Tribolium castaneum: one gene and its partner. The protein of the gene in region 1 purifies or fractionates together with the protein of each later gene. This does not show direct contact. Links are inferred from orthologs where the notes say so. Each region holds a gene or a part of one and is shown on either strand. Other genes may lie near its edges. The genes, in order: Sec10 and Exo70.

Region 1 (4,563 bases):
CAGAGCCCATTAAAATAGAACTAAGGAGTGGCAAGTCAGGGGTTGGGTTAGAAAGCCATTTTAAGGAAAAAGTTACCAGGAAGAAGGTTCACAAAGAGGAGACTCTTGCAAAGAAAATGGACGCGTTTCATACAAGTATTAAAAATAAACAAGCCCAGAAGTTGCTCTGTAAGGATTTTGTTAAAGCGCAGAGAGCTTGTGAAGATTTGGATTTAAGAAAGGTGAACACGTTGCTAACGAGTCAAGTGTGTTATTTACTTGTTTTAGAACACTGATGAGCCAATTCAGGAGTTTTATTGGACGAGGGAAACAATTAAGAAGAAGAGAGGTGTTCAAGACGATGAGGAAGAAGAGGAACAGTTTAATGAAGAATTTGATTCCTACTTTACTGATGAAAATTTAAGCGAACTAATTCATTATCTAAGAAACACGCATTTATATTGCATGTTTTGTGCATTTGTCGCAACTGACGAAAATGACTTAAGTACAAGTTGTCCAGGTCCTAACAGAAGCGATCACGATGACGATTAAATAAATTGTGATTTTTAATTTATGTTTTATTTATTTAGCAAATAATAAATTACACAATATTACAACCTAGTTTTTACACTTTACACTTAATAAAAAATTAATTGTTATGCTCATGAAGGGTAAAATTTGCAACATAAAAGTATGAGTGTGAATTACTTTCTATGTCCAAATGTCTTCAGATCTACCAAACTTGAATATGAGTGACGCGATAAAAATAAACACGTTCTGCAAAAATATAGCGACTCCCGGCCAATAGTGAGGCACCTCTGTAAAAAAACTCAATTAAAGTTTGCAATTTTTTACAAAAACTCTTACTCTTGTTGACGAAATCAGCAAATAATATTCCACAAGAGGCAATCACAGATGCAAAACCCATTACAAAACCGACAAAAAGCCACACTTTGGCGCCTCGGGGGCCCAAACAGCCCCCCTCATAAGCGTCGCCCCTCATTTGGGCGTTTGAAACGGAATTGATCATTATCAAAGACACGGCCCCCACGACCCCACACATGTGGTATCCTGCTAGGACAGTCCCTGGGTATACACTTGCGGCATCGATTATTATCCACCAGCCTACGAAAAACTAAAATTTGGATGAATCATGTCCAGTTGTAGAGCACAAAAAAGCTCACCAAAAACCCCGAGATCATTGAAGCGTACGCATTTCGCCTATCACCCCCTTCGAACCAAATACACGGCGGAATATTTATATTTTCAAAACAGTCAGCTATACCCATTTTTTCCCGATTTAATGGCCTTAAATGTAAACAAAAACGATATTTTTTTGGTGATTATGAACTAATGACTTGGGGATTTTATTGTGCGTTTGACGTTTCGAGGGCTTGGTGACACTGGACGTCAGCTGATTAAAAGTTATTTTTTAATTATTTTTAATTAATAAGTCGAAACCACCCAGAAAAAAAATCGTGTGTGATAACGCGCACCCAAAATATACCAGAAATTGTCATAAATTGTAGTTTTAACACCAATAACAAAGGTCTACTTTGTTGTAACCTAAGATTGGTTGGACGTCAAACTGACAGGTGTCAAGTCAAGCCAAAAATAAATAAATTCATGTTTATATCTCCTCCAGTTTAAAGGAAAAAATTTCGCGTCAAAATGATGCAACAATATATGAAAGAACTGGAGCAGGTATTTAACTCCACTTGTAAGTCTTTGCATAAACGCCCCCTAATCTTTAGGAACCGTTTGATGCTGAAGAATTTGTTGAAAGATTAGCTTGGCGCACAATAGCTGAAACAAAAAATGACGGTGATGAGGACTTTAATCCAACATTGCTGCATGACTCGTTTGTTCAAGCTATTAAGTAAGAATTAGGCTTGTGTAAGTCCCATAACTGGGTTCGTTTTTGTAGAGACTTAACTTTGCTCCAAGAAAGGCAAAAAAAGAAATGTGAAAGGCTCGAAGCCGCCGTACGCGAAGACGAAGCATTGTTTTTTCAAAAAATCCACGATTTATTGGGGCAAAATAAAGTAGGTTTTAAATTGTGTTTGCAAAATACAATCCTCAATTTTAGCAAGCCATTGATACGTTTCAAGAGCTAGACGGAAAAATTAACCATGTGGCGACAAAAGTCCTACACTTGGGTGACCAGTTAGATAGTGTTAACGGACCTAGGGCAAGAGTTGTTGATGCAAAAAATCTAATGACACATTTGAATGAATTCTTACAAACTGGCCCTCTCACTTCAGAAATCTTCACCGACTCGTCAAAAGTATTTTTAATTTTTAAATCAACATTTGTTCAACATTTCTTGCAGATTGATGAAGCGGCAGAAGTGATACAAAAGTTGTATTTAATTTCACAAGACCTGCCCTCACCAAAGTAAAAATTTAGATCAATAATTGTAACAACAAACAATATCATGTTTTAGATTTGAGGGCTTAAAGCGCAAAATTGAAAGAAAGTACGATGAGACAGAGCGGACTTTAATTGAAGAATTCTCAAATGCGCAAAGGAGGGACGATTTCAAAAGAATGAAAGAAATCGCTAATGTTTTATCACAATTTAAAGGCTACCCCCAGTGCGTTGATGCTTACATTGAACGGAGTCAAGCTGTAAATATTATCATATTATCATTCCTCTTGTGGAAACAATTTTTTTAGGGTTGCTTGTTGAGTAAAGATGTATTTTCGCGTTTGTTTCCCTTATGTGAACTAAACTACGATGTTATTAAGAAAGTATTTAATAACCCGGAACAAGTATTGGCAAAATTTGTCCTAAATTTGTATCATTTGAAACTGCAAGAGTACATCGCGTCAAAACTATCCTCGAAATTAGATAGTTACAATTATTTAAAAACTTTGTACGAGTTATATGACAGGTAATTACACTCTGAATGATCCACCAGACTCACTTTTTATTTTAGAACCAATCAGTTATCGCAAGATTTATCCGTTTTTAACATGGGGAGCGACAAAAACTATTTAAATAAGCTAACAAGTAACATTTTCAATAAATACATCGATAATTACATAGCGTGAGTTTCCGTACTGGTTTGTTCCAATTGTTTTAATTAATCATAATGCAGATTAGAACTAAAGTGTCTCAAAGAACGCAGTTCTGCCAATTTGCAACGTTACTACGAATCAAAAAACCACCAAAAGAAACAGATCCAATCTGGCGGGTATTTTTATTATTTCGTGTTTTTCCCTTTGTCTAAATTTGTACAGGTTCCAAGACTTGAGACGCGACATCCAGGCCGTAATTGGGACAAGGGCCAACATTAACATAGCCCAGATTGAAAATTATGGTGGCGAAACATTCCTGTCTGAGGAATTAGCAATTACAATTTTGCAAGACACGAAACAAGCGTTCCAGCGTTGTCAGCTGGTACATAATTTGTGTAACTGAATGAAAAACAATCTGTTTTATTTTTTAGCTTTCAAAGCCTGAAGACAAGGCGTCCAATGCCAGTCAAATTTTAGACCGTTTGCTCAATTCTTTGCTAATTGAACACGTAGATTATGCGCTGGAGTTGGGGCTTCAGGCGATTCCTGTGGTAGAAGGGTCCAAGAATCCTCCAACTTTGTATTTCTTCACAGTGGTGCACCAGAGCAACAATATAACGCACTTGCTTGAGAAACAAATCACTGATTTAGCGGTGCCTCTCATTATGTAATTTCTTACAAAATTGTATAACGTATCTCAGATTTGTTTTTAGAAATACGCCAAAATACAGCGATTGCATGCAAAAGAAAAAGTTTATTTTGGAGGATATTGAACGGAAAGTTAACACCGGACTGGACAGGTGACACCCAAAAGTAATGATTTACTTTTTTAATTATTTTTCTAGAACTTTGAATGCTGTGGGAAGTTGGGTAAAAGTCTACCTGCAATCAGAGCAGAAAAAAACCGATTTTAAACCAGAAACTGACGACTTCGATACGGTCGCTTCTCCGGTAAATCACTTCCACGTTCTGCATAAAATAATTCCGATTTGTAGGCGTGCAAAGCAGTTTCCCAATACATAAGTAATGTAATTAAGGAGATCAAAGACAATTTGGACGGTAACAACGTTACTGCCATTTTGCAAGAGCTGGGAATTCGATTACATCGCGTTATTTACGATCATTTATTGCAGTTTCAGTTCAACACCGCGGGTAAATCAATTAAAAATGGTTTTGTGTTGGCTAATTACGATTTTTAAGGTGCAATGGTCGCAATTTGTGATTTAAATGAGTACCGATCATGTACTAAACATTTAGGTCCGCTTGTGGCCGAGTTGTTCGAAACTTTGCATGCGCTGTGCAATTTATTATTAGTGAAGCCAGAAAATTTGCAACAAGTGTGTTCAGAGGATTCTCTGGTGAATCTCGACCGCTCGGTTTTGCACAACTTTATCCAGCTTCGGAGCGATTTCAAGACACAAAAACAAAATTTTCTCAAAGTGTAATAAGGAATTATTTGTTAAATGATTAAATAATAAAGGCATATATTTACTATTTTCTGTATCATGTTTGGACCTACGTTTTAAGCGCACGCTTAGAATTCTTTAGCATTTTTAATTAT
Region 2 (4,343 bases), on another chromosome or scaffold:
TCCTTCATTTTTTACATTTAGCAGCTTATAGTAGTAATCTCCCTTTCACTAAATCTGTAGCTAATTCTGTATTGTAGTTCTCTAGTGTCATAATTAATGGCTTAAAAAGTTCTGGTAGATTAAGAGCAACTAAAACACTATCCTTTATTTCACTGTCTATTGCCTTCAAGTGTTGGGCAATTTTCATTTCCTGATTTAAATAATCATTCATTCCCTTACTATCAGCGTCACGAATCAAAACTAATTTTTCTGTTAAAGTTGCCACTCTTGGGAAACCTTGATATTCATAAATTTTCTTCAGTCTATCCTAAACTTCTTTTTCAGTTTTCTATTCTCTAACTTCCGTAAATATATGTGACTTGACAAGAAACACAATTGCTGCCAAAGCCTTCTTCTCCAGCTTTTCATCCTTCTTTGTTCCATCCACAAAATCCATCAGTTCACAATTAATTAAATGAATTTCTACTGGATAGGTACTTCCAATCCATGTAGTTGCACTTTCGAAGTTTTTCGAAAAATGCAGGAACTCCTCAGTATCACTTTATGCACAAGTTTTGTTTGATAAATAACCAGTTGTACGCCTAATGTGTTGTAAAACTTTATTGTGTACAAAGAAAACGTTGCTACAATAAATTACAGGAGATCCTGATCCAAATTGTAACTTCTTTATTTTAGACACTACTATCACAACACCAAAATTCAACTGACAATTGTTATTTCAGCCTCCTGCGACGTGGGGTACGCCATCTATTCGCGGTATGCCGCCGAAGCGATGGGGCCGCCGGTGTCGTACGTGGCGCACCTGACGGGGGCCCTGGCGGGGCTCACCATCGGCCTGCTTGTCTTGAAGAATTTCGAGCAGAAGTTGCACGAGCAGCTGCTGTGGTGGGTGGCGCTGGGGGTGTACGCCGCCTGCACGATTTTCGCAATTCTTTTCAACGTCATGAACCCCACGGTGGAGGCGGTGGAGAATTTGGGGGACGGGGTCAACAGTCAGTATGTGTATAATAGGTTCGGGGTATAGCCCCCTTTGTATAGGTTACGGGAACTCTCGGAGATTTATTTATCAAAAGCACTGAAACGATATTATTGCCCACATAGCCATTCCAGACCCGTTTTACAATACTAATCCAAAAATAAATCTCGGAGAGGCCGCTCTGTATATAATTTTTTTTGTACATATTTATATTTATTTAATATTCTAGACCAAAGACTGAAATGAGTAAATTCGAATGATTTATTAAGGTTTCGTTGTGAGGAAATTATTGTCAAACAGCATTTATCAAGTTCCTAAAACGATTCAAAGCAGGAGTGAGCGCAAACCGACAATTCCATTATTCACTTGACAATAATTTCTGCTTTATTTCACTTTCAGTTCATTTTTTTCTGAGTGATATTATCAAACTAGTCATAAAATTATTTAAGTATAAGCCTACCAAAGAAAGTGCTAGTTAATTCTATTTACACAATAATGTATTCGAAGCCTTATAGGTAGACGATTTTTCAATGTATATCACAAAGAAATTGTATTTTTTTACACTCAGGTAGACCACTGTTCACTGATATATGTATTTGTAACGAAAAAAAAAAAAAATAGAACTGATGGGTATTTCTTTTATAATACCTTTATTCCATTTTTGTTTTGTTATTATTATCACACTGTTTTACAAAACGCCCAACTTCCAAAAATAGTAATAAATTATTCAATTGTGCGACGACTTTTACTGAACCCTTCCGAAGTTTTTATATACAGGATGTCCACCATGGGGATCTCAGTTATTGTAAGAGATACAAGTTTGGTGAAATTAGGGCTAAGTTGCGCATTTTTATGCTGAACAATTATGTGCAAGAAAATGTTGTCATTTTTAGTTTTTGAGCTATTGGAAGAAAACGGAAATTTGTCATTTCCGTTTCTATTTTTTCAAGCAAAAACCAAAAGTACTAGACGTTTTTAAGTAGGACCTTCTTCGGGAACTTTTTTACAAGGTCATCGTATTTTCCAAAGCGTTCTTGATGTCAGAGTTAAAAGTTGAGTGTTGTAACTCTGACATCAAGAACGCCTTGGAAAAGACGATGACAGATTTAGGTTTCTTGTAAAAAGTGCCTAAAGGATTTCCTACTTAAAAACATCTAGTTCTTTTAGTTTTTTTTCTTAAAAAAATAAAAACGAAAATTAGTAATTTTTTATTTTTCCCAATAATTCAAAAACCAAAAATGGCACACCAAATTTTCTTTCAGATACTTGTTCAGCATAACAACGTGCAACTTTGCCCTAATTTAACCGATCTCGTAACTCTTATCACAACTGAGATCCCCATAGTGGAGCTCGAAAAACGGACACCCTGTAGACGGACAACACAAGTGGGGATTTCTCAGGGAGGCACGTAAACATAGTAGAAGCATAAAAAAGTGAAAATTAGTTATAATAGTGATTTAATTCATTGGTTTGTTAATAAAAGCTGTCTTCTTTTAGTTAAAATTCAATTTTTATGACGTAATCATGTAATTGTAGGAGCAAAGTGGCCGTGGTAATTGCTATACTAGACGGCCCCGAGCTAATTGTTTACAAATAAAATTAAACAAACTCATAAACACATCAAAATGGGGACTTTACCCACATAAAAAATCTGGATTTTAAAAAGTTCTAAAGCGACATTCGGACTTACCGCCGTCCATTAATCGTAAAAACATCGGTAATTTGAGCAATTTCTTCAATTTCTGGACACCAACAAACACTAAATTGGGGCTATTTACCCAAAAGGGGCTTAAGACGCACTTATGAAACAAGCGGCAAAAACTAAATAAGGTTAGGGTACGTTACCAAACACTAACCTATTAGGCCAGAAGATGGCGCAAGCTTACGAATTAAAAAATATCTGCAAAAAAATTAAACCTTACGGCATAAATTAAGAAAAACAATCCGAATGACCTTTAGGACCGTCACAAGGCATATCAAACTTATCCATAATTTAATTTTCAATTTTTATTGAGCTTTTAGGCGGAAACGGAAACGCCAAAACGTCAAATTGAAATTTTTGCATGTCATTTGAAACGGTCGCTCCTTTTGCCCATTTTTGCAAAAATTCGCCGAAATGGCAGCTGCAGCAATCCGAAAACCGGTGATTCCCAAAGATGACGTAAGAAAATCCCCTATTTATTTAATACTTTAAACGGGGCCCAAATTTTAGTCGGACGATGATAAGGAATTACAAGTGGAGCTAAAGGGTCTCGTGGACCGAATTACGGTGAGTTTTTCCATCATCAAAATAATAAAAAACCACGTAAATATATACAGGGTGACGAATCGAAGCTAGTGAATGTGTCCCTCGACATGTTAAAGTACTTAATACGGACCTCAACCTCGTCCATGACGTCCGTCCCAAAGCCCCTCAAATACCTGGCCCCTTTTTACGGGGCCCTGCGCAACAAATGCGACTCGATGAAGGACCCCCTCCTGAAAAAAAATCTCTCCGATGTCGTCTCCGTCCTGTCCATGGGGGCTATCGACGGGAGCGTGAAACGCGACTTCGACTGTCTCAAGTACTGTCTCCAAGGCACGATGGAGAACATCGGCGATTGGGGGCATGAATACATCCGCCAGCTGGAGATCGAAATCGTCAAACAGTGGGTCATGTGCGAGAACAACTACAAGACTCTGAGCCCCCTTGTCAAGCAGATCATGAGGTTTAACTGCAGCCACCACGACGAGATACAAGGCTGCGACCTTTTAATGGAAATCAACCAGATGTACATGCTCTTCGATTACGTCACGAGGGAAAACTACAAGCCCATTTGCTTGTACCTAGCCTCCTGTGCAAAATATGTGGACGATCTCGAGAGCAAAAAAATACTGAAGCTTATTTCGCAGTTCTATTATCTTTTTCAGGAGCATTGTCGCTGTTTGGTCGTCGCGATTCAAATCAAAGACTCGGCTTTGATCGAGAAACTCTTCAATACGTGCACTGACAAGTAATCTAGTCGGCGTTTCAAACAATTTTTCACTCATTTTTAGGATCACACTGTATCAAATGGCCTTCATATGCGCCCGACACCTCTACCCAATCGAATTTAATCTCGACGATGACGACGTGAGGAGCATTCTCGAGAATAGTCACTTGAGCCACTATTTTTTAAGTTTTGCACGTGAGGTTAGTGACAATTTTTATTCATTTGGCTTAAATTTGCCATTTTCCGTCTTGTGATGTTGTATTTTGGGGTCAAAATGCGAAATTTCCGGAAGAAATTCAAATTTCCCGCCTTGTGTTTCGGCGCCAAATTCAAATTTTTCTCGCTTTAGCTTGATATAATGGAGCCGAAATCGCCCGAAGAGGTGTACAAAACCT

Evidence for each region.
Region 2: the proteins of Sec10 (region 1) and Exo70 fractionate together in Homo sapiens (co-fractionation; 4 studies listed by BioGRID and IntAct, with this or other methods). This does not show direct contact. The link is inferred for Tribolium castaneum from reciprocal best matches to the Homo sapiens genes EXOC5 and EXOC7.

What each region holds. Positions count from the first base shown.
Region 1 is NC_087396.1:19,821,582-19,826,144, forward strand, and holds Sec10 (exocyst complex component 5), read left to right. Parts: upstream 1-1,451; 5' UTR 1,452-1,650; coding exon 1,651-1,683; intron 1,684-1,733; coding exon 1,734-1,858; intron 1,859-1,906; coding exon 1,907-2,024; intron 2,025-2,068; coding exon 2,069-2,266; intron 2,267-2,311; coding exon 2,312-2,376; intron 2,377-2,425; coding exon 2,426-2,609; intron 2,610-2,657; coding exon 2,658-2,875; intron 2,876-2,920; coding exon 2,921-3,031; intron 3,032-3,082; coding exon 3,083-3,178; intron 3,179-3,224; coding exon 3,225-3,384; intron 3,385-3,433; coding exon 3,434-3,669; intron 3,670-3,715; coding exon 3,716-3,802; intron 3,803-3,847; coding exon 3,848-3,953; intron 3,954-3,997; coding exon 3,998-4,154; intron 4,155-4,202; coding exon 4,203-4,447; 3' UTR 4,448-4,496; downstream 4,497-4,563. Other genes in the region: G patch domain-containing protein 11, read left to right, coding at 1-221, 268-531; transmembrane protein 50A, read right to left, coding at 691-797, 847-1,114, 1,164-1,268. UniProt on the Homo sapiens protein: Component of the exocyst complex involved in the docking of exocytic vesicles with fusion sites on the plasma membrane.
Region 2 is NC_087399.1:7,106,131-7,110,473, reverse strand, and holds the start of Exo70 (exocyst complex component 7), read right to left. Parts: upstream 2,826-4,343; 5' UTR 2,667-2,825; intron 1,713-2,666; exon of another isoform or gene 1,025-1,712; coding exon of another isoform or gene 723-1,024; intron 1-722. Other genes in the region: stet (uncharacterized protein LOC657740), read left to right, coding at 723-1,024; 26S proteasome non-ATPase regulatory subunit 2, read left to right, coding at 3,093-3,137, 3,189-3,245, 3,296-3,969, 4,013-4,148, 4,298-4,343. UniProt on the Homo sapiens protein: Component of the exocyst complex involved in the docking of exocytic vesicles with fusion sites on the plasma membrane.